Linked DNA regions of Cricetulus griseus. The protein of the gene in region 2 purifies or fractionates together with the protein of the main gene of each other region. This does not show direct contact. Links are inferred from orthologs where the notes say so. Each region holds a gene or a part of one and is shown on either strand. Other genes may lie near its edges.

Region 1 (5,681 bases), on a different chromosome or scaffold from region 2:
TGCATCCCAGCACTCAGGAGGTAGAGGCAGGTGGATCTCTGTGAGTTCGAGACCAGCCTGGTCTACAAGAGCTAGTTCCAGGACAGCCTCCAAAGCCACAGAAAAAACCAAAAAAAGAAAAAAAAATTGTTTTTTCTCTGCACATTTTGTCCTTTTTGATGTGTTCGTTCTGTCTTGATTTTGGGAGTTCTTAGGAAAACATAAGTTCTGACAGTCATAGTACAGTCAGTATTTTCATCTTTTCTTTTAGTTCTGTGAGATTTAAAATGTGAAAGATGTTTTATTTTCCCCTTATGACTTACGGCTTTGGTTCTTACTGTGGCTTTTCTACTTTAAATTATAACAGTATTTAGCTCTGCTTCCTTTCCGAGGTTGACTGGTGTATTTTAGCCAGTTTGACTGAAATCCATCCTCTAACAGTTCAGTGTTAGTGCTACTCTAAAGAAGATGTATGAGTCTGTGTCATCGAAACTTGATTGATTTAGATGGGAATTTAAAGGTTATGGGTCACTTCAGAGAAGCGATGTGTCTCATACCCAGCTCTTCTGATGCTGACTTTCTCTTGTCTTTTTCATTAGCTGAGGAAACGCGTGAAGCTTGAAGGGAAAGAACTCGAAGAATATGTGGAAAAAGAGAAACTAAAGAAAGAAGCTGCTAAGAAACTTGAGCAGTCGAAAGAGTGAGTCACTCACATAAGAGTAACTCGTAAGGTTAAGTCAGCATATAATGTAAAAAGAACACATTTGTAGGATTCAAACACTCAGTGGCCTTCAGTGAAGATAGCTTAAATTGTCTTAAGGCTTTATGACTTATTAACATTTTCAAATGGCAAAAATAAAACCTTTTGAGTGCTAATAATGCCAATGTATTAAGGATGGTAATGTCACATTTTTACAAAACCCTGATCTACTTATACCAACTACTATGACTTGGGGTAACAGTGGATAGTCATTCATTCATTCATGGTTTTATAAATACTAAGCCAAACTGACTTAGTAACATTGTGACCCTGCTGTGTTCCCAAACCCTCCCAGGGCGGATATCGACTCCAGTGATGAGAGTGATGTGGAGGAAGATATCGACCAGCCTTCAGCTCATAAGACAAAGCATGACCTGATGATGAAAGGCGAAGGCAGTCGCAAAGGCAGCTTCTTCAAACAGGCCAAAAAATCCTACCCTATGTTTCCTGCCCCAGAAGAAAGAATTAAATGGGATGAATATGGCGAGATCATCAAGTATGTGAGCAAAACAAACTCTTTGGGCTCGGTGAATTGGATCTCTCTGGTCGCCATGTGCTTTGCTCTTGAATGCCTTGGCTTGAGAGATAGAGGAGGCTTGGAATTGGAAGCATAAAACAGAAACGTTGAGGGGCATCTTGAGGATTAGTAGGAAAGGGAGTGTGTAGTTTAATTACTTGGTTTCATGAAAGGTTTGAAGCTAAGGGACATGCTGTGGAGTTTTTGCTGGTAGTTGTATTTATAATACTTTTGGCTACAAGGGGAATATGAAATAAAGGGTGGAACCATGAAAAACAACTAAAATCACATACTCAGACTGCAGTTTTGGAAACATTGCTAACCTGAGTAAAAGTCTGCCAGGGTTCCCTCTGCTTCCCCAGAAACAGTTAGGTGCCTTGGCCTAGTACACAGTGTCTGACATTCTTGCTCTCATGTTTTCCTCTTCCCTTCCCTGTCTGGCTATATATAGATATATTTAAGTGTCTCTCTCTCTCTGCATTGATACGCACTTGTTTACCACTTGTATAGCCAGGATTATAAGCATGTATTTTATACTTGCCTAGTACTTCCATAATGTTGTTGAGCAAGTGGTAGTCTTAGATCATTCTTGTGCTTACTTAGGAAAGTCCCATTGTCTACATAGCCCTCTAAAACAACCAAGAGAAAACATGGCAATGTAAACAATGCTGGTGTTTTTTTAGGTTCATTTGATAAGTGACCAGTCTGCTGCTTACTCTCTGTGTGTGTGTGTGTGTGTGTGTGTACACAAATGTGCCTTGTATACATATGTGTATGTGGAAACCAGAAGACAACTTGCAAGAGTCAGTTCTTTCATTCCATTGTAGGTTCTGGAGATCAAACTCAGGTTGTCAATTTGGGCAGCAAATTCCTTAACCCACTGAGCCATCCATCTCATGGCCCTGGACACTACTCTTTAACTTGACTTTCCTAAGAAACATGGGGATACAAATTAAATGAAGTTGTAGGAAGTTTTTGTTTTTGCTTTGGGTTTGGGGGGAGGGGAGGGGCTTTAGAGATCAAACCCAGGGTCTTGTAAATGCTAGGCAGTTATTCTATCACTGAATTACACTCTAGCCTGTGAGATTTTGTTTTTAAGGAAGGTCTCTAGCCTGGAATCACACTAAATGTGCTTTAAGTGGTTGTTACTGCTATGGTTATTCTGTGGTTTAGAGTTGGGGATGTTAACTGTGGGGAGTAAGAAACTGTAGCAACCTGGCTGTTAGAGAATAGAGCCTGGGTTCTCAGAGAGGAGTGAGAATGGACTAGAACGTTAGAAGGATGGTCACAGGGTGGTAGAGGATTGTAAAAACAGGTATCTCACTCTTTTCAGCAGTGCTCACAGGGAGAGTTGTTGTGGGGCACACATACACATACACTCACACAAACAAGTAAATTATAAAGAGTGCAGGGCCGTCCAGTGGTGGTGGTGGTGGTGTTGCACGCCTTTAGTTCCAGCACTGGGGTGGAAGAGGCAGGTGGATCTCTGTGAATTTGAGACCAGCCTGGTCTACAAAGCTAATTCCAGGGTAGCCAGGGCTATAAAGAGAAACCCTGTCTCAAAAAAACAAAACAAAACAAAAAACAAATAAGCAACAACAACCAAAAATGCAGGGCCAGATTTCAAGAGTGCTTGTTGCTTGTTCCAGCCATTCAGTTCTTTTTTTGATGTGTTCAGGGTTTCTCAGCAGTCTACATCATCCTTAAAGAGCGTTCTCCGGCTGGAGAATGTAGCTCAGGAATAGCATGCTTGTCTAGCTTGTGTAAGGTCATGGGTTTGGTCCTTAGTGCTGCTAGCTAAATAAATAAATAGCACTCTTCAGTAGTTATAAAAAACATAGCACATATAATCATCTGATTGGTAGTGTGCATTAATTAGCTTTGAGTTGAATTAAGTCTTAAGATATTCGAGGAGTCTTTAAATTATGCCATCTATTAGTCTGTTACATATGTTACATAATGTTAGCATACCTTCCATGTGTGTAATTAGAGAATCACTGTTTAGACCAGAAGATTTCTTAGTGCCAGAACTTCAGGCCACTGAAGAAGAAAAAAACAAATTAGAATCGGGTTTGACAAATGGAGATGAGCCCATGGATCAGGACCTGTCTGATGTTCCCACCAAGTGTGTTTCTGCAACAGAGTCTATTGAGATAAAGTAAGTGCCTTTGTGGGGTTTGGAGATCAGGGTAAACTATATCAGGTAAGATATAGTTTCAAGCCCTTGAATTATATAACTTACATTGTTTCAAAAGTGAGATTTCAGCAGAGCCACTATGAGTTCATGCTTTTAAAACTCCCTTTTCTGTGAAGTATGTTGGTATTTTCATTGAGGATCCTTGAATACCAAAGTAATTGTTGGGAAGGGAGCTGAAGATTAAATTGTACATTTATATGAAGAGACATTATTTCCTGCCTTTTTAATAAATCTAGTAGCAGGTGGGAGAATGGTGCAGCTGAGAAGCTAATTCTTCTGCATATTACTTGCTTCATGAAATGTCCTCCTTGACTTAGACATTCTAATGTTTGGGGGTAGAAAATTTTCAGGACCAGAAGTAGTCAAGAAATTCTTTCCTTTCCTGCATAGTCCAGTTAATACTGCCAAGAAGTGATTATTTTGGAATTTGAATCATCAGAGAACAAATGGTTTTTTGTTCAGTGATATCTTTTGTGTATATTCTTAATTGGGAGTCATACTGTAACATGCATTTTACAATTTCTCCTTATATGCATTTCTTTCCTGATGGTAAAAGCCTACTTTTAGAGTTAAGAAAGTGAGCTTGAATAATGATATTTAATTACAGAGCCAGGGTTACTTACATAGACTATGAAGGACGTTCGGACGGAGACTCCATTAAAAAGATCATCAATCAGATGAAACCACGGCAGTTGATCATTGTCCATGGCCCACCAGAGGCCAGTCAGGACCTGGCCGAGTGTTGCCGTGCATTTGGTGGGAAAGATATTAAAGTGTACATGCCAAAGCTACACGAAACAGTTGATGCCACAAGCGAAACGCATATCTACCAGGTAAATATGTTGTCAGTGGAGCCATGGGGAAGTAGACATTGCTGTTGGCACACTAGCTCATGTACATTAGGAATATGGTGAGTGAGATGGGTACAGCTCCCTACCCTAACAATCCCTAAATTCGAGATGTTTAAACCAAATAAATCAAATGCCCCTAACACTTACTCATTTGGCAGTGTGTAAGGTGCTGGGAGATAAAGAAGAGGGCTCCTACTCAAGTTTGGAGGTTTGGAAAAGGTTTCCTGGAAAAAAAAAATGACAACTAAACAGGCTTTTTAAAAAAAATAATTATTTTTATTTTATGAGCATTGATTGGTGTTTTCCCTGCATGTATGTCTGTATGAGTGTGTGAGATCCTTTGGAATTGGAGTTACAGACAGTTGTGAGCTGCCATGTGGGTCCTAGGAATTGAACCCTGGTCCTCTGGAAGAGCAGCCTGTGTTCCTAACCACCAAGCCATCTCTGCAGCACCCTAAACAGGCTCTTATTGGATGTTTAGCTACTTTGTCAGGACAGACAGCAGCAAAGAGTGGGGAAAGAGTGTTCTAGTCAGATAGACAACTTTGGCCAAAGTACCAATGTGAGGGAATGATAAGCATTCTCAAAATCAAAAACATACGTCCATTTCTTCATTATGAATGGCAGGGTCTGGCTGTGTAGCCCAGGCTAGTCTCAAACTTGATTCTGCTGCCTCAGCCTCCAAAGTGCGAAAATTATAGGCATATTCTACCATGCCCAGCCTCAAAAAAAAAAAAAAAAAAAAAAAAGTTTTTTTAAAAAAACTCAGCAGATGTCGTAGTTCTCCTAATTGAAAGAAACAGTGTGGCTAAATGAAGGAGAAATAGTCTTATCTGGAGATAGTGACAGTGAAGGTAGGCGTGACATCTATATCTGGAAGAGGTTAGAACTTGCCCGGCAGAAAATCATATCGGGTATGTAAGAGAAAGAGACATGGAGGTGTGAAATTAATGGCACATTCCAGAAAGCACAGCAGCCATAGCTGCACAGATGGTCATCTGAGCACTAGTCTTCATTTCAATGATCACACTAGAAATACTAGAGGTGGCACCCCAGTGTTAGTATCCAGGTGGGTGTGGGACGCCGTGACTCTGTTGTACAGTCAGATTGACAGTCTTATTTTGGAAAATGGCCAGGGATTCTCAAGCCCTTACAGATAATTGGGTCACTGTGAAGAATGACAGCCTGAGGAGAGAGATTTTCAGATGTTGATCATATTGCCAGAGTTAGAAAATGGCAGAAGACTATGTTTGATTTGTTAACCTACACCCTCCCTTTGTTAACCTCCCCTCCCTTTGCATATCCAGGTACGATTAAAGGACTCGCTTGTCAGCTCCCTTCAGTTTTGTAAAGCTAAAGATGCCGAGCTGGCTTGGA
Region 2 (5,681 bases):
GCATTAAAAAAAAAAAAGTTCTTGGGGCTGGAGAGATGCCTTAGCACTTGTTCTTACAGAAGACATGGGTTCAGTTCCAGCACTCACAATTATCCATAACTCCAGTTCCAGGGAATCCAGTGCCCTCTTCTGACCTCTTTGGACACCAAGCACTCTTGTGATATACATACGTGTAGGCAAAACAGTCATACACATAAAGTAAATCTAAACAAATTTTAGTTTTTATCCTGTAAAACTGAAAAAATCTTTAAAAATTAATATGTTTGTGAGTGCCAATTCGTTCACTCACTATGTGGGTTTATAACATGTTGAATATTTCTATTTTGTTACTGTGTGTTTTTGAGGTTAATTTTTATTATATTTTTAGGAGTTATGGAACAGCGCCAGTAAATCTTAATATCAAGACAGGGGGAAGAGTGTATGGAAATACAGGTAAAACTTGTATTTGCATCTGTATAAGTATGAAAAAATGGCATGATATCTCAGGTCCCGAGTAGATTGTATCAGCTCTTTTCATGAGTAATGTTTGACTGACACATATGCAGACTCCTTCTGTGAAAAACATCTCAGACAGCAGACATTCCGCCTGTTCTGCTTGTGCTGCTTTGCTTGTTTTAGAACCCTTTAAGAGAAACTTCTTTGCCCACAAATTATATAAAACAGCAATTTAACAGATGGCATTAGCAATTCCATTGATGTAGTAATCTTTTGTTTTTGTTTCCTGAGATAGTATCTCAGGACCTATCCTTGACCTAGCTGTGTACCCAAAACTTGCCTTTAGTTCCTGGTCCTCCTGTCTCCATTTCTCAAGTGCATAGATGTTAGGCATGTGCTGCCATGCTAGGCCATAATATCTAAATGCATAACTTTTCCATTTTGTTCGTCTTAAAAGTTTCATCACAAAGTCTGACTTTATCTAGTTTTATTAATGGTCAGGATGGATGGTAAAGGGACATTTGTTTCCTCTTTTTGTCTTCTCCTTCTTGCTAAGGTAGCTTCTTTGCCATTTTGCATTTCTTTAAATTAGGAACCAAAGTCAAAGGGGTAGACCTTGATGCACCTGGCAGCATTAATGGAGTGCCACTGTTGGAAGTAGATTTGGATTCTTTTGAAGATAAACCATGGCGGAAACCTGGTAAGATTATTTGGGAGTACAGTTATCTCAAAAACAGATTTTTAGTGTAAAATGATCAGAAAAGTATTTTTGAGTGGCAGTATAAAATGCTGCCTTTCATGATGTCTTTTTTTATTGTTCTAAGCAAACAATGAATACTGAGTACTGGCATTATTAAAACCTCATTAAGTCACTGGAATTAACATAAATGTGGACTCACATTATTTAGTATAATGTCATTTCTAAAGGAAATCATTTTGATCAAAATGTTTTTCAGTCTGCTTCATTGTGGTAACCTTTTCTCATATGTATACAGTCTTTTGAACATGTTCACTGCTTTGTCCTCTTTGACCCCCTCCAACCCCCACCAATACCCTAATAACCTTCCTCTTCAGAGTTTGTTCCCCTTCTATTTTCATACCTTCTCTAAATCTACATTTTTATACTGAACTATATTTTGATGCTGCCATAGAGTTAAAATATTTGTATTCTAAAAGTTTATTTTATCTTTAGGTGCTGATCTTTCTGATTATTTCAATTATGGCTTTAATGAAGATACTTGGAAAGCTTACTGTGAAAAACAAAAGAGGATACGAATGGGACTTGAAGTTATACCAGTTACTTCAACAACAAATAAAATTACGGTAATTAGTAAATCTTCCAGAGTAACCCTGCCTCTTCTACTATTGCACTTTGACTCCCCAAATAAGTCACTTTTCCCCTACAAAGGTGATTAAATGCTGTATGACAGTTTAATTTTTTTGTTGTCTTGACCATGTTTGTTTATTTCCCCTTCCCCTTCAGTTCCATGTTAATGATTATCGTGTGTTCTTAGTTCAAATCACAGACTAGCCACAGCTAGTTTGTCTTTATGTGGCCTATCAATTAAAAATTGTGTGGTATCTTAATGGGGAATATGTTATTTAACTTAGGCCGAAGACTGTACTATGGAAGTTACACCAGGTGCAGAGATCCAAGATGGCAGATTCAATCTTTTTAAGGTGAATTTTAGTAAATTATCCTTGGTTGCTCTCATTTTGTTCTTGAGTCTGCTCTGTTCAGGGGAGAAAATTAAAGTGGAAATAGGTACCTTTTTTCCCCCCAAACCTTCAGCTTCCTGGTGACTTACATCTTTGTTGATTGTTGTTAACTTTTGTAAGCATGTGAATTTATAGCCTATCATACTAACAAACACCAAATAAAATTTCTTTGCCGTATGTTGTGACCTAAGGATAGTACATATTTGTGGGATATGAAGGTCATGGCTGCAGGCTCAGCACTCATTGTACATTTTACTCTTATTCTTAGTAAAATTGGGAAAACCTTTTGTTTCCCCAGTTCTTAAAAAAGCAGGAGGGATGGTAACAATGTTTATTCTCTGACAATGAAGTCTCATTGGTGCAATAGCTTATAGTTAAGGTGTTTTCAAGAATTTTAGATGTTCTCTGACAACCTCTTAAAATTGAGCAGAGCCTCCGAGGTTTAAAAGGAGTAGGTCCATGTAAGTGACATGAAGGTTGACAGGATCATGTGACATCAGGTCTGACCTCTGGTTTCTCCATGTGGGTCCAAAGAATACTACATTTCATTGCTGCTTTTCCTGAGGTTTGGTTGGGTAGCCTTTCCTTTCCTTAGCTTTAGGTTATATACCTCAGGGACTTTGTGGCCTAGATATAGAACTCTGTGCCCTTTTGAGGACACCAAAATGCTGGCTTATGTGCTGTATCCGCAGATGTAGCTGCTGTCTGTACAATTCTGTATAGAGACTTTAATTTTAATTTATATCCTATTATAGGTAAGTATTTGGTTCTTGTTCTGTTATTAATATTTTGAAAGTACTTGGTAATATTTACTCTTTTAAATGGTCATCTTAGATTTGTAAACAGTGAAATAAGAAACTACTAGGGTTAGCTTCTCTTGAAAGCTATAGGTATCTATTTTACATATAGGCTATCTGTTGAATATTTTTTGAGTTCTTTTTGATTGTTTTCGAGGAAGTCATTAATTTTTCTCCATTTCTGATTGATTCATTCTGAATGAATTTTATGGTTGTTGTTCAGTGGTTTTCTTGCCTTGATCAGATGCTTAAATACTAGTAAATCTATTGGAAATAGTGATTTAGGGATGATTAATTTCAGTGATTTAGTTAGGCCCCCCCCAGTCATATTGTGGTCTGTAGGAAATGATGGAAATAATGCCACGGAAAAAGACCTTCATCTTAAACACTGTGCACATTCATGTGAACAGTGGGCATCCATAAGAAGGTTCTTGAGCAGTAGATTACTGTGCAGATCTGGTTTTTAGAAAAGAAGTGGCAGTTGAGTGGACTGTAAGAAAGGCAAAAGGTCAGATGGGGTTGATGTGATCAGTAGTACAGGAGTGAACCAAAAAACACCTGGGCTTCATGACTTGAGAGCCTTTTTTTTTTTTTTTTTTTTTTTCATTTTATTTTTTCTGCTTCTCTTTTTATCTCTTATTGATGTATTGTACTAGTCCTGTAAAATCTGGATTTACCCTAATTTTTCCATCTCTTCTTTCTGGGAGGTCGTCCCCCCCCCCCCCCCGTCCCCCATTGAATTCTACTTAGATTTTTGTTTCTGCTGTTAAGTTTTTAATTTCCAAGAAAGTTTTCACTGCAAGATCAGATGTTAACTTGGTTTCAATAAATCAATCATATATTATATAGTTATTTCTTAAGATGCTAGGTTATGTGAACTAATCTCATGTTCTGGTTGGACAGATTTTGATTTTGTCATCCTGAATGTAGCATATGAAAACACAAGTGGGTAGTTAGAATTCAAGATAAAGAGGAAAGCTGCTATGATAGTGAAGGTTTTCAGGATTGTGTAATAAGTGTGTTTTAGAGGAATTAAGTATAAAAGTTAGGAAAAATGAGCAGTTTTTACTCATTTTACTACCTCTTGTCTTCACTGTTGTAGAGATACACACGTACATGCATATAGTTTAAATACTCCCTTCAGTTTTAAGATCTTTTATTCTCTCTCCCACTTTCTTCTTCAACCTTCTCCCATTTTTCTTTCCAGCTTTTAGAAGACAATCCCAAACAATGTGTTAGGCTGGTTGGGGAAAGAAAGTGAACATAATAGACATAGACTCTAATCTTCTGTCATGGAAAAGCTAGGTATTCAATAAATAATGATGCCAACAATTACATATTTAATGTTATTTGAAAGACTGAAGAAGCGACATTAAAGTAGAGGCTCAAAACCAATCAAATAAATTTAAAAAAAAGTTTATTGGCTTCTCCACATCCTTTTCCAGACACTTAGCACTTAGGATACAGAGTTTATACATGGTTTCTTCAAAGGTCTTGGCATAGTGACAGTAGGCAGGTAGTATCATACAGCAAAATATTCAGATGATGCTAACAAGAAATTTTAAGAAGACAATAGAAAATCACAGGAAAGAGACTGGCAGTGGTGAAGGAAAGCTACTCTGTTACAAGGGATAATTTGACACAGTAGTCCTCTTTCGACCACTGGAATACACTAAGATCCCTTGTAGATGCCTGAAACTGGGTAGTACTAAACCCTATATACTCTGTTTGCTTCTCCACATGTATATGCACAATAAAGTTAACTTCCAAGTTAGTCATAGTAAGTGAGTAACAATAACAGTGCAGAGCAGTACACTAAAAAAATTATTCCAGTATGCTCAAAATAATTATTGTGCTGTAAGTCATATCAACCTTAGCATATGGTGACTCTTCTGAAAGGAACTAGGTGATGGCTTCTTTGTGCTGGCTCTGAATCGTCAGCATCATGACCTTTGTGCTTTAAGGGCATTTTTAAGTTAAGTAAGGCTTAGTCAGACCTCAATACTCCTCTACCCTAACAGTTTTAGTATCCCAGGCAGCTGAATGAGTGATTAACAGGATGCTGAAGTGAGCATGTGGATGCATAGACAAAAGGATGGTTCATGTCCCAGGTGAGGTGGAATTGGAAAGGTGCAGACTCTGTGTGGTTTAACGTGTCAGTTGTCACTGTTTGGAATTTTCCACTTGAGTTATTTTAGCCTGTTTTTGACCCATAATTGAAAGTACAGAGAGCAATAGCATGGGTGGAGGTTGGGAAGATTGCTCTACTTGAATTAGAGGATTCCATGAGAGAATCCAGAGAAAGACTATTCCAAACAGAAAGAATAGTTAATTCAGAAACCCTGATGAGAAGAGGAGCCTACGTGTCCAACAAGACAAGAAAAAAGCTATCATGACTAGGAGTGGTAAAAGTAAGTGGAGGAAGAATGGAAAGAAACAAGTTTAGAGGGATACAAGGCTCATAACCATATAGGCCATGTTAAGATGTTTGTTTTGGTCTGGGTTGCATTGGGAACAATTGGAGAATCTTGAGCAGAGGAGAGACACGAGTTGGCATGCAAAATGTGGTATGATTGCTTTGCCTTTGTACAGAGTTAAGAGCAAATGTGGAGAGTGTGTTTATCACAGTAGTTGATGCACACAGATGGATTTGACTGGAGAGGTGTCTGTCAGCTGATGAGTTTTGGTAATATTATAAAGGAAAGGTTAGCGTGAGTTAGGTAATACCTG
Region 3 (6,258 bases), on a different chromosome or scaffold from region 2:
TTTTTTTTTTTTTTTTAATACAGGAGCTAATGTGGCCCTGGATGGACACAAACTTCTTATTCTCCTGCCTCCACCTCCCTTTGGAGATCACAGGCACTTTCTTCTAATTTGTATCTTAATGCAAATAGTATTATAATTCATTTGGTTATCTCAGTACCTTGGGGACAATGAAAATAATTTTCTTCATGTTTTACCCATCCCTTTCATGTTTCTTTTACTACAGTCTATACAAGAGGGAGTAAGGCACTTCTCATGTCCCCTATTTGCTGTCTATAAGTACAAGTTGGGGGCTGTGGGGGTAGAAGAAAACAAATGGTGTCGGTGCTTGAGAAGCCTGAAAGGTGATCCTGGAGCACAGTGTTCTAAGAGGAACACCCATTATGTAATGTGGAAGGTATCACCCACATGCCACTGCTGCTGATGACACTGGAGTGGCATAGTCCTCACAGGATTCCAGCTGTTGAACCACATATACAATAAAGAGATTTCCACCAATTTCCTTATTTTACTTTTTTCACTACATGTATGTATCTCTTAAAAAACAGGCATTTCCCAATGTATTAAGTGAAATTAAACATACAAAATACCTTAATCATACAACTTTTTTATTTAAGCTTTATTAAACAGTACAGAGACTTTCTTATAACAAACACTGTTTTGATTAGTCAGTGAGAAGTTTGGGGTTAGCAACTACAATTTTAAAAGAAACAAGCAATTGGAATTAGCCAGAACTAGCACAAAAGTACGAACACTAATCCACTCCAGCAGAGAGGAGGCAGAGGAAACACAGGAAGCTTAACACTAGCACAGAACAACTAAATCGTAGGAAAATAGCCTAGGGATGAAAACTTTGTACACTTAAAATTCAAGAACTCTGCAAGGGGACAACCCTTTGTGTCAGCTCTCCCTAAGGGTTACTCTTTGCTCAGCAGCTGGGTGTTTATTAACCTACAGAGGAAGGTCACTTGGCCATATGGGAGCTTGTGCTTCTTTTGTTAACTGAATATAACACAATGTCTAGGTGCCACACACTCAAAGCTAAAACAAGATAATAGCTCTAAAGGACACATAATAAACTCCACATTCCTTATTTTAAAATATATCTTATAGGAATGTGTATTATGACCAAATGGCTTTTATGTAAGATATAAAATATTAAGTTAACTGAGCATAGCTGTCGGTCTACATGGGCCCCAGTTCTAGTAAGATGTAGGAAAGTAGTTATTGAAAGTAATCAAACTGTAAGACATGTCAAAATGTCAAGACTAAGATTTCTAACTTCCTGTCAACCAAATGGATTGCATCCATATGGTGAGCGGTTTATTGAGAACCTGGGAGAGTTACTGAATGAAACCCCCACTACTCAAGAAAGCCTGACTCCTTTTCTGACTGATTCTTTTAGATGATGTCAGAAAATTACTCACAACCAGACTTGGGGCTTAAGATTTTTCTGTTTTTCTTTTTGAGCTATGCATTAAGCAATAACTTGAGTCTCATCAGGAGACTTATATGTAACTCAGTTCACACTACAACTGTCCTGCAAAACCACCACAGTTGGGACCAGGCAAGGATACTAATAGTTTCAGAAGGGTCAGATAGATCAATGAGGCATCATCTTGAGTTTTCCCATAAGAGCTCTAAGGAAAAAAAAAAAAAAAAAAAAAAAAAAAACTCTATTGCTACAAATTTTACCACAGACTATTAGCTCTAATGTTTCAAAAAATAACTAAAATATTAACCTTAATACGGTACTCTATTGCCTTTAAAATAGAATTAAGTGTTTCGGTTTTCCAAAAAAAGTGTATCTTCACAGTTTGACATTCAGTTCAATATACAGCCAAAAATCTTTAAACTATCAATATTGTAACAGGCCACTTTCAATTTTAATGTAGTTCCCAGTTTACTCAATATTTATAAAATACAGCTAACAGAGTGCAGACATGTTATTATTGCTGTATCTTCCTATACCACCTTATTTGGTATGCTGTCCTCATTTCCAGGGTTTCTAGTGGAGTTAAGTGACAAAGTGAATAGGCCCACTCCCTCCACTCCCTATCCTCAATCAAAAAGAAAAAGGAAAACAGAAAGTAAAAAGACTAGAAATAGGACTAAGGTCCAGGGAGAGGGCAACCTTCAATCATTAAAGTATGGGAACACAGAAGACAGCTTTTTGCACCACTTTTCATGCCACACAATAAACACTGAAGGGATAACTAAGTACTTCCTAACCAAAAGCCTTTCAAGAAGCACCAGTGGATTTCTGGATCTGTTCCTTTAAAATCAAGATACTCTGCCTTTGCTCGGGAGGCAGCATGGCAATCTGATCTGCAGTCAGCTGAAGAACCTGCATGATCAAAGCTGCTTTTTCCTGATCTTGTGGAGTTACCTGACTTTGCCCAGGGCTAAAACTGCTAGGCTGGCCTCCACCTTGCTTACTCGATCCTTGTATCCCTGCTTGCATGCCTGCTCCCTGCATCCCCGCTTGCATGCCAGCTCCCTGCATCCCTGCTTGCATGCCAGCTCCCTGCATCCCTGCTTGCATGCCAGCTCCCTGCATCCCTGCTTGCATGCCTGCTCCCTGCATCCCTGCTTGCATGCCTGCCCCTTGCATGCTTGCTCCTTGCATTCCTCCTCCTTGTATACCTGCTCCCTGCATCCCTGCTCCTTGTATGCCTGCCCCCTGCATACCACCTCCAGGATTTCCCACTCCTGCAATGTTTGGAACCTGTCTAGGTCCCTGAGGGCCACCTGCCCCCATATTAATGGGGCCAGGACCCTGGATTCCACCAGTCATCGGGCCTCTGGAACTAGGGCCAGGGCCCCTCATCTCTAGTCCTCTTGCTTCCATCCCTCTGGTCTCCATTGCGCAGGTCTCCATTCTTCTCTCCATTCCTCGTGGCTCCAAGACCTCGGTTTCCATGGGTCGAGTCTCCATTCCTCGAGACTCTCTACCTCCTCTACCATCCATAGGTAGACCTCTTTGATCTATCATGGGACCTCTGGGCTCTCCAATTAGCATTCTGGGATCTGCTGCTAATGGTCCTCCTCTCATGTCATGCGAGGAAGGGCCACGGCTGTCATGACCATGGTGCATAGGGGGACCTTGGTGGGGTGGGCCCATATAACCTCTGGGTTCTACTTCTCCGGTAACTGAGAGCAAAGTCCCTCCGCGTGGGTCATTTGGAGCATCTCCCAGTAGTCCTCGAGGAGGAATGCCACCAGAAGGCATGGGTCCACGAGGCATTGGAGGTCTAGGATCTGACATCTGCATTTGTCCTCGCTCTAAGGGCACTGGCATGCCAACCTGTGGCTGCATTGCTCCTGCTGGAGTTAAGGAACCAGGTCCAGGTCCGGGAACTGCGGCTGGTATTGGTCCCGGAGCTGGAATTCCTCCTTGTATAGAAGTCTGCATCAGAGGAGGAATGTCCTTCACAGGTCTTCTTGGCAGATGTTGAGGCTGTGGGGCTGGAGGATTCTGTTGGTTCAGCATAACATTGGGTCCCGGGCAGAGCCCAGGGGCAGTGGCAGGGCCAGGGCCAGAGCCGGGGCCAGGGCCAGGACCACCTGGGCCAGGGCCAGGGCCAGGCTGAGATTTGCCTGGGATCAGTGGTGTGACATGTATCTTGCGATGCAAAATTTTCAGTGCAATCTCTGGATCCATGATCCTCATCACCACCTGGGCCTGCAGCAGGGCATACGCCAGTTGTGGGTTCTGAAGCAGCATGTTCCGCGCTTCCTGGTGGCTGTTTTGGACACACAACTTCATTTGCTTCATCAGCTCAAACATCTGCTCCGGGGGCAGGCTGGCGACTGCTCTCGTAATCGACTCTGGAGCATCTTCTGGATCAATCGGGTCCCCATAGGGGGAGTCGATGATGGGCGCTGCCGGGCCCAAGCTCTTTAACTCCTCCTTGTTCTTTTCACTGGCAGCATTGTCCACCCGAAGCGCTCTCCCACTAAATTCGCGCCCATTGAGGTTCCGCATGGCACTAAGCGCCGTCTCCTGGTCTTGGTACTCGCAGAAGCCATAACCCTTGGGCTTTCCTGTCTCTCTATCGTATACGAGACGGAAACTGACAACCGAACCAACCTCCGAGAAAATGTCCTTTAACTGCTCCTCCGTCGCCTCATACGGGATGTTCCCCACGAACACTGAGCGCAGTGAACGATCCATGGCTGGGTCTCTCACCGCCAAACTCGACATGATTCCGGTCGAGCACACAGCGGAGAGCAAATCCGTCCAAGAGCCGTCCTCTGGCGAGCCAACCACACTTCCCCTGTGTAACGGAAGCAGGTGTCAAACTCCGGGGAGAAACCTTTCCGCTATAAGTCCATAGTTCCGCTAGGCCGCAGAAACCGCTTCCTAAGACCGGACTAATTTATCTAACGCCTTCCGCCTCCGGTCGCGCGCTCTTCTGTCCGCGCCTGGTTACTGACAGCGTGTTTCCTCTCCATGATCTTATTGGTCAAATTTCTCCGGCGTCCCGCCCCCTCTTCCTGCCGTCACCGGATGCATTAGAACTGACCACATTAAAGATGGCCGACCGGGCTTCACTGTGGTAACCGTAGCGTCGGCCTTCCCAGAGGGATGGGGCGGTTTTTCTTTGCGTTCCACGAGCGGGAAACCGCCAAACGAAAGCTGATTTAAGGCTTAATGTTTAAATTTCTGATCCATGTGTTTTCACAGATGCTTCCGTTTAGTGTAGAATGTTTGAAAGATTTAAAATTTTGTTCCAGATTATGAGGTAAAATGTTGATACCTGTACCTTAATATTAAAACACCTCCTTAAATATCAATAAAAGAAAATTAATGCCCAGGGAGACAAACTAAAGCGTCTGTCAGCTTCAGCCCCGCCCCCACGCTATGGCTTGTTGAAACTGTTATAAGATGCAGGATCCTTTCAGGTTTTTCTCTGTGTGCTCAGGCAAAGTGCTCATTCCTCTACTTACTAATATTATGCTAAATTGGAATTAATTGAAAAGTATGGCCGAGAGTATAGATTTAATCGAATTAATTTAACTTTTATTGTGGACATTTAGGTAGTTTTGATTTTTAAGTTGTTCTCTTTGTATTTTATTTTGAGTTACGGTCTCTATGACGTGGAGTCTGTATAGTCCTGTGCTCTCCTGAAGTTCATGATCAGGCTGGCCGTAAACTCACAGAGATCCACCTGCTGCCTGCTTCTGCCTCTGGAGAGTGCTGAGATTAAAGGCATGCTCCACCACTGGTTTTGTTGTCCTTGTTGTTGTTTTGGGGGGTTTTTAGACAAGGTTTCTCTGTGTAGCCTTGGCTGTCCTGGAACACTCTCCATAGACCAGCCTGGCCTCCACTCACAGAGATCCGCCTGCCTCTGCCTCCCGAGTGCTGGGATTAAAGGCGTGCACCACCACTTGCCCAGCAGCATATGTTTTATATTTGGTTGTGAATTTATTCAACAAATCAAGATATCAGGTTACTAAAATTAGTTTTGCTGTCTTAACACAGGGCTCCTCTTCAGACCAGGTTGGCTAGGAATTCACTATGTATGTAGTTCAAATGGTCCTCCAATTTGCAGTCCTCCTGTATGCCCCAGATGCTGGGATTAGAGGCAAGCACCACAAACCTTGTTCTTACCTGACTGATTTTCAAAGAAAAAGACATGAATCAAGCAAAACATCTAAGGCCTATGGGATTATCCTTCACACTTATCACTGTTAAAGTTTGGTCCATTGTAGTAATGGTTTTTATGCTAACTCTGAAATTGTTCTGAGCATCCATGTATCAATCATACTAGGAAATAAGTGCCTTAGCTAAAAACATAGGCATTTTCAACAAACAGGATTGACCAACAAAATCACCCAAATCTCTGACAGATTTGAGGGGAAAATATGGTATTTACAGCAGGGTGGTCACACAGGTCTGGAATTACCAGCACTTGGGGGCCTAAGACAGGATGATCCTCATTGTGATTTCAAGGATAGCAAGGGTTACATACTGAGTTGTAGGCCAATCTGTGATACATGTAAGCCCTCCCTCCCCAAATGGTTTTTAGTTATTTCTAGAAATTAAAATTTACACAAAACTGTAGAAACTATATTCTCTGTGGGTCTATAAATGGTATTAAAATATTAAATGAAAGATTCACAATAAACTGGGCATGCTGGCTCACACCTTTAATCCCTGCATTTGAGATACTTCCAGGACAGCCTGGTGTAACTAGCTCCAGGCTAGTCATGACTACACAGTGAGACCCTTAAAAAAATAATTTTAAAAAGGAT
Region 4 (6,224 bases), on a different chromosome or scaffold from region 2:
CTTGTACAGCCACTTTGGAAATCAGTATGGTGATTCCTCAGGAAAATGGGAATCAGTCTACCACAAGATCCAGCAATTCCACTCTTAGGCATATACCTAAAAGAAGACATTCATACAACAAGGACATCTGTTCAACTATGTTCATAGCAGCACTATTTGTAATAGCCAGAAACTGGAAGCAACCTAGATGCCCCTCAACTGAAGAATGGATATAGAAAATGTGGTACATTTACACAATGGAGTACTACTCAGCAGGAAAAAAAAAATGGAATCTTGAAATTTGCGGGCAAATAGATGGAACTAGAAGAAACCATTCTGAGCGAGGTAACCCAGTCACAAAAAGACAAACATGGTATGTACTCATTCATATATAGATTTTAGACACAGAGCAAAGGATTACCATCCTACAATCCATACCGCCAGAGAAGCTGGGAAACAAGGAGTATGGTCCCCCGAAGAAGGGGATAGGGACAAGATCTCCTGAGCAAATTGGGAGCATGGGGGGAAGGGAGAGGGAGCTAAGAGAATGAGAAGGGGAGAAGAGGAGGGGAGAGGAGAACGTGAGGGAGCAGGAAGGTTGAGTTGGCGGAAGAACAGAGGAGAGCAAGATAAGAGATACCATAATAGAGGGAGACATTTTAGGTTTAAAGAGAAACTGGCACTATTGAAATGTCCAGAGATCTACAAGGATGACACCAACTAACAATCTAGGCAATAGTGGAGAGGCTACCTTAAATGCCCTCTTCTGATAATGAGATTGATGACTACCTTATATGCCATCCTATAGCCTTCATCTAGCAGCTAATGGAAGTAGAAGCAGTTACCCACAGCTAAACACTGAACTTGAAAGACCCCCAGAGACTCAGGCCCCCAAGATCTCAGCCCAGGACCTCAGTCACCCCAATCACCAGGCAGAGTCAAAAGCTTGATGCAAACTGCACGAGGCTTTATTGTAGTTGTTTAACGAGCTAACCCCATGTTAGCTCGGGTCTTTCATCCACCCACCATGGCGGATGGCTAAAAAAAAGACCCTGCAAAGCGGCTGCATAGAGATCTTATAAGGCAGCATAAGGGGAGTGTCTAGGGGTACACACAGGCTCAGGATTGGTTTGGAGGGTTTGCCCTGTGTTGATTGGTCAACTGGTTGTTATGGCCCATAGGCCCTCCCAGGGTGGTTGCTATGCTCTGTGCGTCATTGCTGTGCACTTGTCCATAAAGCACACCCAGAGCCGTAAAGCATAGCACCACTAGCTAACTTCTGATTGGTTCCTTGCCACAAGACAGGCATCTGACCTCCTAGCAACCAATACAAGGTCAGACAAGTATGTGTTTGGCTGTTATGGCTGCCAAAATTGGGAGCTGGTCCCTTCAAACTGAACTTGAATCAGTTGCAGAGAGGGGAGAGTGATGAGCAAAGGGATCAAGACCAGGCTGGTGAAACCCACAGGAACAGCTGGCCTGAACAAGGGGGGCTCATGGGCCCCAGACTGATAGCTGGGAAACCAGCATAGGCCTGATCCAAACCCCCTGAACCTGGGTATCAGTGGGGAGGCCTTGGAAATCTATGGGGCCTCTGGTCGTGGATCAGTATTTACCCCTAGCATAAGAATGGACTTTGGGAGCCCATTTCACATACAGGGATACTCTCTCAGCCTAGACACACGGGGGAGGGCCTAGGCTCTGCTCCAAAGGATATGACAGACTCTGAAGATCCTCCATGGAAGGCCTCACCCTCCCTGGGGAGCAGAAAGGGATAGGGAGTTGGTAGGGAGCAGGGAAGGAGGGGAAAATGGAAAAAAAAATACCTTGATGCACTTGCTATGTGACCATTGGCAAGGACCCAAGTTCCACAGACTCATAGATTTGCCTGCACAATGATAAAAAAAAATAGAAAACCACTCAAACTATACCCCTTAATACAGCCTGTTCTCCATTTGAACCTCGTACGAGAAAACTGAGTTATCTCACTCATGTGGCCTGCTGACATGTGTTAATGCTTTCTTTGCTCCAGCAAACTTATTTTGCTTCTTTTGCAAATCTGTGTGAGCCCTCATTTTTAATTCTCTGAATAAGTAACCAAGAACCTGGAAAAACCTAGCCCAAACTCTAACCACCAGTAAATATGGAAATAAATGGAATTGGGAAATGGGTATCTGGATAATTGGTATAAAATCACCACGTGGGATAGCAGTTGCTAACCCTAACCCTAAGCTACCACACACAATCCCAATAAGAGGAACATGGGGCACCTTGAGTAGACACCCACATCTGAACTTACTAGTTACTAAGAACCCTGGCCTAAGTCCTTGACTCACTTCAAGGAGGCCAAGGCGTTCATTCCTCTGGAGTCTGATATGGTCACTTCATATCATATCAGACACATTCCAGAACACTCAGATCCCATAAAAGCACATTTTGTATTTAACTGTGTAAAAACATGGATGAGATCCAGTGGACTCATTTCCATGTCAAGATATTATATTTACTCTCATATAGTATATGTATTTTCTATATACATTTATATAGAAAATATGGTATTTTCTGTTTTTGTAACTTTCTGTATTTTTCACAACTCAGATACTTGCATAAAACTCTGAGAAGCTCCATAGAGGTATCCCTTCCCTTAACTCTGACCTAGAAATTGAATCTTTAAGTTATTGTACTTATTGTACATAGTTTTTCTTATATTATATAAGGCTTCTTTTTTATTTTAGACAAAAAGGGGAAATGCAGTGATATTTTGTTTGTAATCTAACAAATAAAGCTTTCCTGAAGAGTGCAGAGCTAAGCCACTAGTTAGCCACACACCTAAGCCACTAGTTAGCCATAGAGGTCAGGCCATGGTGGCCATGCCTTTAATCCCAGCACTCAGGAGACAGAGGCAGATGGATCTCTGTGAGTTCAAGGCCACCCTGGACTACATGAGAGTGAATCAATCTAAAACAGAAACAGAGCTCACACCTTTGACCCCAGCACTTGGGATGGCATGCCTTTAATCCCAGCACTAGAGAGGAATATAAGTCAGGAGTTCAGTGTGGTCTCTGGCAGTCTGAGATTTGTGGGAGACCATTGCAGTCTGCAGTCATGCTGAAGACACGATTTCCCCCCTCCCCCCACCACCACTGCTGCTTTAGTTTGAACCTTGGTAGAGGTGAGAACTCTCTACTGGTTGGCTGCTTTGCTTTTCTGATCTTCAGCTTGAACCCCAATATCTGTCTCTGGGTTTTTATTGTTCATGCACAGAGATCAGAGATGGCTCAGCAGCTAAGAGCACTCGCAATTGCAGAGGACCCAGTTCAGTTCCCAGTACCCACATGACAGCCCACTACCATCCCTAATTCATATTCCAGGGTATCTAATGATACCTCTTCTGAACTCTGTGGGCACCAGGCACACACATGATGCACATATATACATGCAGGCAAAACAAGCATACACATAAAATAAAAACAAATCTTAAAAAAAACAACAAAAACCAAATTATGCCAGAATCTGACTTGATCCTTACCCTGAACCAGTAACCTGAGGGCCTGGGCCCAGCAAATTGCATTCCTCCTCATCTGCAGGATCCTGGTTGAGTAGGGACAGCTGGAACAGTGTGCCTTCCTGGCTGAAAAGTGCATGATGCAAGTAGTGAGAGCAGAAGGGCAGCTTTCTCAAAGTGGCTACACCACAGGACACTGTGATTGATGACAGCTGTCTGGGACAGCCGGCACTCTCACTCCACAGTCACCAACAGCCGCAGGCCAGGCTCATCCCCTTTCTTCATCCAGACAGCATTTCCTCATGCTCCATCTCAAAGTGCAAGCAGCTATTTGTGCACAAGGCCTGTAGAACCTAGGGAAGGCGGGGCCTTGGGTCCGCCCCTGGAATGTCATCCCAGCTCAGAATTTGCAAAACTAATAATGGCCACCAGAGGGTGCATGAAATCCACCATGGGAACCTTGGTGTGTCATCACTGGCCTTGCCCAAAGAACCCTCCTGGTATTCAACCCTCTACCCTGTCCTCCCCATCCTTAATTTAACCCTTCCTATTTTATTAACCCCATATCACTGTATTCTATCTCTCTTGAAAGCCCCTGCCATGGCTCCTTACAAATTTCCTGACCTTTATGGGTATTTCAAATGGAACACACATATCTGAAGATTCATCGCTAACATGCACATATGAGTAAAAATATGTGAGGCTTGTCTTTCTGAGTCTAGGCTATCTCACTCAGAATGATCGTTTATACAACCTACACATGTATTACATATATAAAACAAGTGTAACATTGTTTCCATTTACACGTGAATTTTGTAATTTCATTTCTTTTAACAGTCGAATGATATTCCATTGTGCAAATGTAACACATTTTCATTGTCTGCTGATGGTTGTTTCCAATTCCTAGCTATCATAAATAGAACAGTAATGAGCATGGATGTGGTTCCCTGCAGTAAAATGCAGAACCCCTTGGTGTGTGTGACTGTGTCATGTATTAATCTATTTCTAGCTTTTTGAGGAAGTGCCACTTGGGTGTCCATGGTGGCTATACCAGTTTTTAATCCCACCAACAGTGAAGTAAGTGTTCCCCTTTTCCCTCATCCACACCAGCATTTATTGTCATTTGTTTTGTTTTCGTCATTCTGACTGGGTAAAATGAAATCTCAAAGTAGTTTTAATTTGCACTTCCCTAACGGCTAAGGATACTAAAGAGGTTTTTAAATGTTTCAAGGCCATTTAAATTTTATCTTTTGACAGCACTCTGTTTAATTCCATGCCCCATTTCTTTTTTAATTGGGTTGTTTGGCTATTTTGATGTCTATTTTTCTCAAATAACTCATTTTTAAAGCCTTCCTGGGACTGATTGAGTGCCCAGGTCACCAATCTGACAAGATTCAGCTAGGACCCTTGCTTACCACATCAGTAGGAACAAATGGGTGTATAGAGATGTTTTCCAGACCTCGGAGAGTAACTCCAGCCTGGGACTTCCAGTACTGAAGATACAGAGGATGTTGGGAAAATCCCCAAACCTTTGCTGAGCCCTTGAAAACTAGGACCAACTAAGTTTTCTTGAGCCTTGGAGGCATCCAGGGATGATAGAGCCTGTGACCAAAATCAAGAACTGGTCATGCAGAAAAGCCAGAAAAGGATATGGGAAGGCCACTGGCAGACCACTGGACAACCCAGAATACCCTGGCCCCTGCTGAGGTAGGTGACTCAGGAGACACAGAACTGGATCCCTTTCCTTATCTGGGCTCCCATGAGGCTCTGGGCTGCTTGTGGGATTGAGCTATGAATTAATGGAACATTCCATTGTGCTAAGTGTAAATAATATTCAGAGTTGTCATCTATGCTGGACAGTATGGTGATTTGAATGACAATGGTACTCATAGGCTCATGTATTTGAATGTTTGGTCCTCAATTGATGAAACCATTTGGGAAGGATTAGGAGATGTGGTGTTTCAGGATATTTGATCACACTCTGGAACTCTGAGACCATGTTAATAAAATTAGCCTTGGACCAGGGAGTTCAGCCAGTGGACTAGCTGACAAGAATTAGCCATAGAGAGGACAAAAGACCTGGTAAGACTAATAGAAAGACCAACAGGAAGGAGTAGGGAAGGACTTAGAGATTTGTGGTCTTGTTTTGGTTTTGGACGATGTGGAGAGACAATCTCTTGCTGGGTCTCCAGCAGAAAAGGAAGGTCAGCTGGTTACATCTTGGCTTCTCCGATCTAGCAGGTTCCCCCCCAACATCTGACTCCCAAGTCTTTATTGTAAATAGAGCAACTTAGGAGAAAACAACAACTGTGGCTTTGTTGGAAGAGGTGTGGTCACAGGATGTGGGCTTTCATCTCCCTCCCTCTCTGCCTCCTATTTGAAGATAAGAAAGGTCTCAGTTACTGTTTCAGTGCCACGCCTGCTATGCTCCTTACCATGATGGTCACGGACTCACCCTCTGAAATGGTAAGCCCCAATAAACTTTTTCTCTGATAGGTTACCTCAGTCATGGTGCCTTTTCAGCGCAATTGAAAAGTAGGTACACAATTGCTTTGACAGTTTCTGCTTGTTCCTCCAGATCTCCTCTCACTATTCCTCCTTTGTGTGTACCGGCTACTGATCTATGTAGACAACATCAACAGTCTCCTGCTGCTGTCACTTCTGACTGAGCCCAACTGTGGTAGTTTGAAAAAAAAATGGCCTCCAAAAAAGTGGCCCTATTGGAAGGTGTGGCTTTGTT
Region 5 (5,105 bases), on a different chromosome or scaffold from region 2:
TTAATGATTGATTAATGAATGAATGAATTAGTCCTTGAGGAGATTCATTTAAGAACTAGTGATCCTTCAGCAGCTGGACTCCCTGTGTGACAATTAGACTCAAGGTGGAGGTGGGGAGTTGGCCCATGAGGCTTGCACTAAAGCTGAGGTGCTATGGAGATGGATCTCTCTTGCTGGTGGCCCGAGTGTTGGTGCCTGAGGCGCGTGTGTAGGAATTGTGTACTGTGTGGTCTTCAGTTGCTATGAGCAGTAGGAATAAAACATAGCTGTTAAATGTTAATAATCTTCCCACTTACAGCAGCTCTGTTTTAACTATCTCTACAAAGACTAACGCCTCTTAAAGTCTGTAAGAAAATCATATGAGTCTTACAATTTTCTTCAGGTGATGTAGAAGAATTAGAAATTCAAGAAAAACCTGCTCTGAAGGTGTTCAAGAATATCACTGTCATACAGGAGCCAGGCATGGTGGTTCTGGAGGTGAGGCCCAGTCATCACCTCAAGGGGAGGAAGGAGGGAAGTTTCCTATAACCGTATGTGTAATCGCAGAGAAGTGTGGTTATTGATAATCTGGGGTACCATCAGTTTTGAAGAGGGGAGCTCACAGGCTCAGCCTTAGACAAAACTACAAGCAACTAAGGCATTCTGAGAGCTTGAGAAATAGTCTTGCCAAGGGAAAAGTCCCCTGATAGGTCTTCCAAGACCAAGTGGTCAGGCCTGAAATCAAATATATGAAAATAACACTATACATGCTGAGCAGGCTGTATTTATAAGTCTAGGGAAAGAAATACAGCAACAATTAAAGTAAAAGAGGCCGTGAGTTTGAGAAAGAGTAGGTGGTGGTGGGGCTAACAGGGGAGAGGCTGGCAGGAATTTGATGTACTTATAGTTTAATTAAAAAAAGGGGGGGTCTTAAAAGTCTCAAGATAGTGCACACTTTTAATGCTAGTACTTGGAAGGTAGAGGCTCCTGGATCTCTGAGTTCAAGGACAGCCAGGGAGGGCTACACAGAGGACCTCTGACTCGAAATACAAAAAAAAAAAAAAAAGGCCACAAACTAGTCATGCCACCTTCCTTTAAAAAAAAAAAAAAAGATATTTTCATGTCTTGAATAAACTGTAAAGTAACTCAAAGCATAAATGGGTTAGAGATGGCTCAGCAGTTAAGAGTACTGGTTACTCTTCCAGAGTTCCTGAATTCAATTCCCAGCAACCACATGGTGGCTCACAGCCATTTGTTATGAGATCTGGTGCCCTCTTCTGACCTTTGGGCATACACTGTATACATAATAAATACATAAATAAATTTAAAAGACAAACATCATCTGGGCTGGAATGTCCTCTTCCAGAGGACCTGGGTTCAATCCCCACACCCACATGGCCAATGTGGCATAACTGACTAATTTCAGTTTCAGGACATCCGGCACCCTCTTCTGACAGACATACAGGCTGGCAAAATATTCAGATCCATTTAGGGGGTGGGGTGGGGTGAGGTGGGGTGGGGTGGAGATACACTGGTGAGACCCAATACAAACAAAAAGTTCAATAGGCATCTACATTACACACCTTGTGTTTCACCCTCTTGTCCTGCTGCCTGAGCCAGTAGCATAAAGAAATTTGGAATCTGAGTTTGACCCAGCACCAGCAGTTATATTGCATGTGTTACTTTGGGGTCAGTTTTCTCTTCTAATAAAATAATTAGGGAAATTAAATGGCAATGCATGGAAAACTTCTTGCCACAAAGTGGGGAGGGGGGCGCGTTTAAAGGACTCAGGTGACTAGGAGTCTCATGTGACTAGGAGCCAATTGATTCCCCAAAAAGCTAGAGCAGCAGCTCCCCTGCGGCCTGCTGGCCTGACAGGCAGAGCTCGCAGCAGTATGGCTGTGGTTCTACCTTCCTGACTCCATCTTTGCTTTATAGTGGCTGGCAAACCCCTCTAACGACATGTATGCGGACACAGTGACCACCGTGATACTGGAAGTTCAGTCGAATCCAAAAATAAGGAAAGGTAGGGCTTGCCCCATGCTTAACCATTCCATCTCTCTCAGATTCTTAGAACAAAAAAAATCAGTAGAGCCCTGAGTAGAACTTAAGTTTTCCTAGATTTTAGTGTGTGATTTTGAGGTATGAACACATGATGTCTTACTTTTCATTCTGGCTCATCATTCACAAAGGTAGAATCCTGTTTAGTTACAGTTCTCCTAAAACATTGTGAACAGAGATGCTAAGATACTGCTCCGCTGAGCCAGCATGTCCCTCAGGGAGAGAGCTGGCTTCATGTTCAAGGGAAGGTGCTGAATAGAATGGCAGCTCTAACTAGTGAGAGCATGTGCTGAAGCTGGCTGGCGGCTTGGCCCTGTGGCTGCACAGTGGACTCCAGATGTGCCATCAGACAAGGAGGCACCCTGAGGTATTCTGGGAGATTCCCCCCACTCTAGACCCACACAGGATACCAGAGCCTGTTCAGGATAGAATGTCCCCCTAGAGACAGAATGGGCACAGGGGAGGGAAGTGGAACTGGTCACTCCCTAAGTTTTCTGTGTTGGCCACTCTGTCACATGAGTGACATGAGTAAGCCGGCCATGTCCATATCCTCCCTTGAGCTGCTGGGGAGCATTTGGTTGTGGGTCATGGCAGTGTGAGAGTCTCTGCTCAGTCTTCATCCTCGCCTTTAGCTCTGTGAACAGTGCTGCTGTTTGCTCTGTGGGGCTGGTGTGGTTCAGTGCTGAGAGCACCCATTTAGTGGGCATCTGGTCCTGGAACCTTCTTCAGCACTGAGAATGGTTCTGGTCAGGCACGGTGGTGCACGCATGTCGCCCCAGCATTTGACCAGTGGGGCAGGAGGGTGAGATCAAGGCCAGGTTTAGTGCCAGCCTGGACTCTACAAGAGAAAAGAGACCCTGTCTAGTAGAATCAAAAAAAGCAAAACGTTGAAAATGGGGTGGTTCACATTGCTGTAATCTTGACACTTGGGCGTCAGAGGAAAGAGGGTCACTGCAAGTCTGAGGCCAGCCTGAGTGATGCAGTGAGCACTGGGCCATGTGGTAATAAGATGATGGCTCAGGGAAAGAGAATTTGTGTGTGCGCACTTCACATGTCAAGTCTGCCTACCCTTTGGGGAAACAGAGACCATGAATGGGCACTGTTGTATAGCTGGTGCAGGCCAGGGAGGCGTAGGAATGGATAGGCCAGGGTGACCTTAACTCCAGATTAAAGATGACTTATCATGACCATCAAGTTGTGTGTTTGTTGGGGTTAAAAAAAAAGAAGAGGATGCCGAGCCATCTCTCCAGCCCTTAAGTATTGATTTTATTAAAATATTCGTATCAGATGCTATAGCTGATACATAACGTTTAGATACAGATTAATGGTCCAGAAGTCTGTGGACCTATAATTTAGTCACCTCTCCTCAGAATGTAAGTTTGAGAAAATTGGGAAATAAAAGTGAACTGGGTGTTGTTGTGGTTCCTTTATAAAAACACGAACTGACATTCACATGAATTTGCCTTATGTGAGCAGATGGCACAGCACATGCTTTGACTTTGAGGTCTCCATGGTTACTTCATGCTCTGGTGACCTGTTTGGTGACTGAGCTGCTTGTCCTTCAGGTGCGGTGCAGAAGGTCTCTAAGAAGTTAGAGATGCACGTTTATAGCAAGAGGCTGGAGGTCATGCTGCAGTAAGTCTCAGCTGGGTGTGCGGGTGCATGGGTGTGTGTGTATGCGGGTGGGAATGCTGAACTCATGGTGTGTCCCTGTCCTGCTAATGTACTAAGTAAGTTATGTCCAAGTTCACACTGTGGTTGTTGCCACATGCCAGTGCTCCAGCCTTATGAAGCCTGCACATCTGTCAACTAGTGTGATGTCAGCTGAATGTCACTGTGCCTTTAAGAGTTATTTTAAGTATTGGCTTGGACGTGAATTGTTTGGTAAAGTGGGTGTTTAGCCTCTTTCCAGTAAGTCTATCTGTAACTGTGAATGTCTCCAGTCTGGTGTGTTTCTACCACAGTGCCTTCCTGTGGGTGCTCTTTCAGCTGACTTTGGGATGTTTTCTAAGCGATCTTAGGAAACCTCTTACCAGTGGATAGTTAATTCATAGTTTCAGCACCCAATATCGTATCATTTGCTTGGTGAATGAATAACTTAGTTTTCTTTAGAGAAAATGTCTGCAAGACAAAGGGAAGAAAGATACATTTTGGCTCCTGGTTCAGAGGGCTCTGCCATGGCCAGGTGGCCTTGGCTTTGTCCTGATGTGGAGTAGAGCATTGTGGTGATGGGATTGTGCAGGAGAGGAGGAAGCTCACTATATTCCATTCTTCAGAGTCACCGGCTGTCCCCTTCCTTCACAGTCACACACAGGCTGTCCCCTTCCTTCACAGTCACACACAGGCTGTCCCCTTCACAGTCATGCTCCCGGTGTCTTTCTTCCTCACCCAGGCCTCATGTCTGTTACCATTGCAGCTGTGCCAATGCCAGCCTGATGTGAGTCTGTAAGGGAAGGAATCGCTTGGTGAATTAGGTCAGAACCCATCACCTGGCAGCCAATTTTGATGTCCTCTGAGGACATTGCAGGTTCCAATCATGACAATGGCTGCTTCTGCATCTAAGTTGAGAGTGACAAGGATAGAAATCTTAGTATTTGGGAAGATTTTGTGTCCTTTATGTTTTTCTAAAATTTCATACTGATAACAGTGGCTTTTTAATAATAGCTTTCATTGGCTTTTTGATTTGTTTTGTGTTTTAAGAGACATAGCTTCACTGTATTGCCCAAGTTGACCCCAAACTGGAGGGTCATAAGATCTATGCTACATAGAAGCTGGAGGCCATTCTAGGCAACTTTGTGAGACCCTGTTTTAAAGAGCTGGTGTGGCATGTCTGCCTAGAATGCAAGGCCCCAAGCTTAATCCTGGTATTAAATTAAAAACAACCAAAGCTCATGCTTGCTAAATGGAACAGTGGAGCATTCCCATGACTAGAGCTGTGTTTCAGCTGTTGTAGAACAGATAATCAACAGCAACAGCATGTCTCCAGAGTAGCTAAATAAAAGCATTCTACTTCTGGGACTTGGGCCTCTCTTCAGTGTAATTCCTCCCACACCGGTAAAGTTGGA

The links.
Region 1: the proteins of Fip1l1 (region 2) and Cpsf2 purify together in Homo sapiens (affinity purification with mass spectrometry; 7 studies listed by BioGRID and IntAct, with this or other methods). This does not show direct contact. The link is inferred for Cricetulus griseus from reciprocal best matches to the Homo sapiens genes FIP1L1 and CPSF2.
Region 3: the proteins of Fip1l1 (region 2) and Cstf2t purify together in Homo sapiens (co-immunoprecipitation; 3 studies listed by BioGRID and IntAct, with this or other methods). This does not show direct contact. The link is inferred for Cricetulus griseus from reciprocal best matches to the Homo sapiens genes FIP1L1 and CSTF2T.
Region 4: the proteins of Fip1l1 (region 2) and P4ha2 purify together in Homo sapiens (co-immunoprecipitation; 3 studies listed by BioGRID and IntAct, with this or other methods). This does not show direct contact. The link is inferred for Cricetulus griseus from reciprocal best matches to the Homo sapiens genes FIP1L1 and P4HA2.
Region 5: the proteins of Fip1l1 (region 2) and Cpsf3 purify together in Homo sapiens (affinity purification with mass spectrometry; 5 studies listed by BioGRID and IntAct, with this or other methods). This does not show direct contact. The link is inferred for Cricetulus griseus from reciprocal best matches to the Homo sapiens genes FIP1L1 and CPSF3.

Annotation. Positions count from the first base shown.
Region 1 is NC_048598.1:104,034,059-104,039,739, reverse strand, and holds part of Cpsf2 (cleavage and polyadenylation specificity factor subunit 2), read left to right. Parts: intron 1-578; coding exon 579-679; intron 680-1,034; coding exon 1,035-1,235; intron 1,236-3,261; coding exon 3,262-3,414; intron 3,415-4,060; coding exon 4,061-4,286; intron 4,287-5,611; coding exon 5,612-5,681. UniProt on the Homo sapiens protein: Component of the cleavage and polyadenylation specificity factor (CPSF) complex that play a key role in pre-mRNA 3'-end formation, recognizing the AAUAAA signal sequence and interacting with poly(A) polymerase and other factors to bring about cleavage and poly(A) addition.
Region 2 is NW_023276807.1:141,061,176-141,066,856, forward strand, and holds part of Fip1l1 (pre-mRNA 3'-end-processing factor FIP1), read left to right. Parts: intron 1-367; coding exon 368-432; intron 433-1,027; coding exon 1,028-1,135; intron 1,136-1,627; coding exon 1,628-1,758; intron 1,759-2,046; coding exon 2,047-2,115; intron 2,116-5,681.
Region 3 is NC_048596.1:30,362,721-30,368,978, forward strand, and holds Cstf2t (cleavage stimulation factor subunit 2 tau variant), read right to left. Parts: upstream 4,309-6,258; 5' UTR 4,205-4,308; coding exon 2,240-4,204; 3' UTR 585-2,239; downstream 1-584. UniProt on the Homo sapiens protein: May play a significant role in AAUAAA-independent mRNA polyadenylation in germ cells. Directly involved in the binding to pre-mRNAs.
Region 4 is NC_048600.1:68,253,280-68,259,503, reverse strand, and holds the start of P4ha2 (prolyl 4-hydroxylase subunit alpha-2), read right to left. Parts: upstream 3,825-6,224; 5' UTR 3,624-3,824; coding exon 3,509-3,623; intron 1,868-3,508; coding exon 1,806-1,867; intron 1-1,805. UniProt on the Homo sapiens protein: Catalyzes the post-translational formation of 4-hydroxyproline in -Xaa-Pro-Gly- sequences in collagens and other proteins.
Region 5 is NC_048600.1:27,390,254-27,395,358, reverse strand, and holds part of Cpsf3 (cleavage and polyadenylation specificity factor subunit 3), read left to right. Parts: intron 1-382; coding exon 383-477; intron 478-1,917; coding exon 1,918-2,005; intron 2,006-3,605; coding exon 3,606-3,675; intron 3,676-5,105. UniProt on the Homo sapiens protein: Component of the cleavage and polyadenylation specificity factor (CPSF) complex that plays a key role in pre-mRNA 3'-end formation, recognizing the AAUAAA signal sequence and interacting with poly(A) polymerase and other factors to bring about cleavage and poly(A) addition.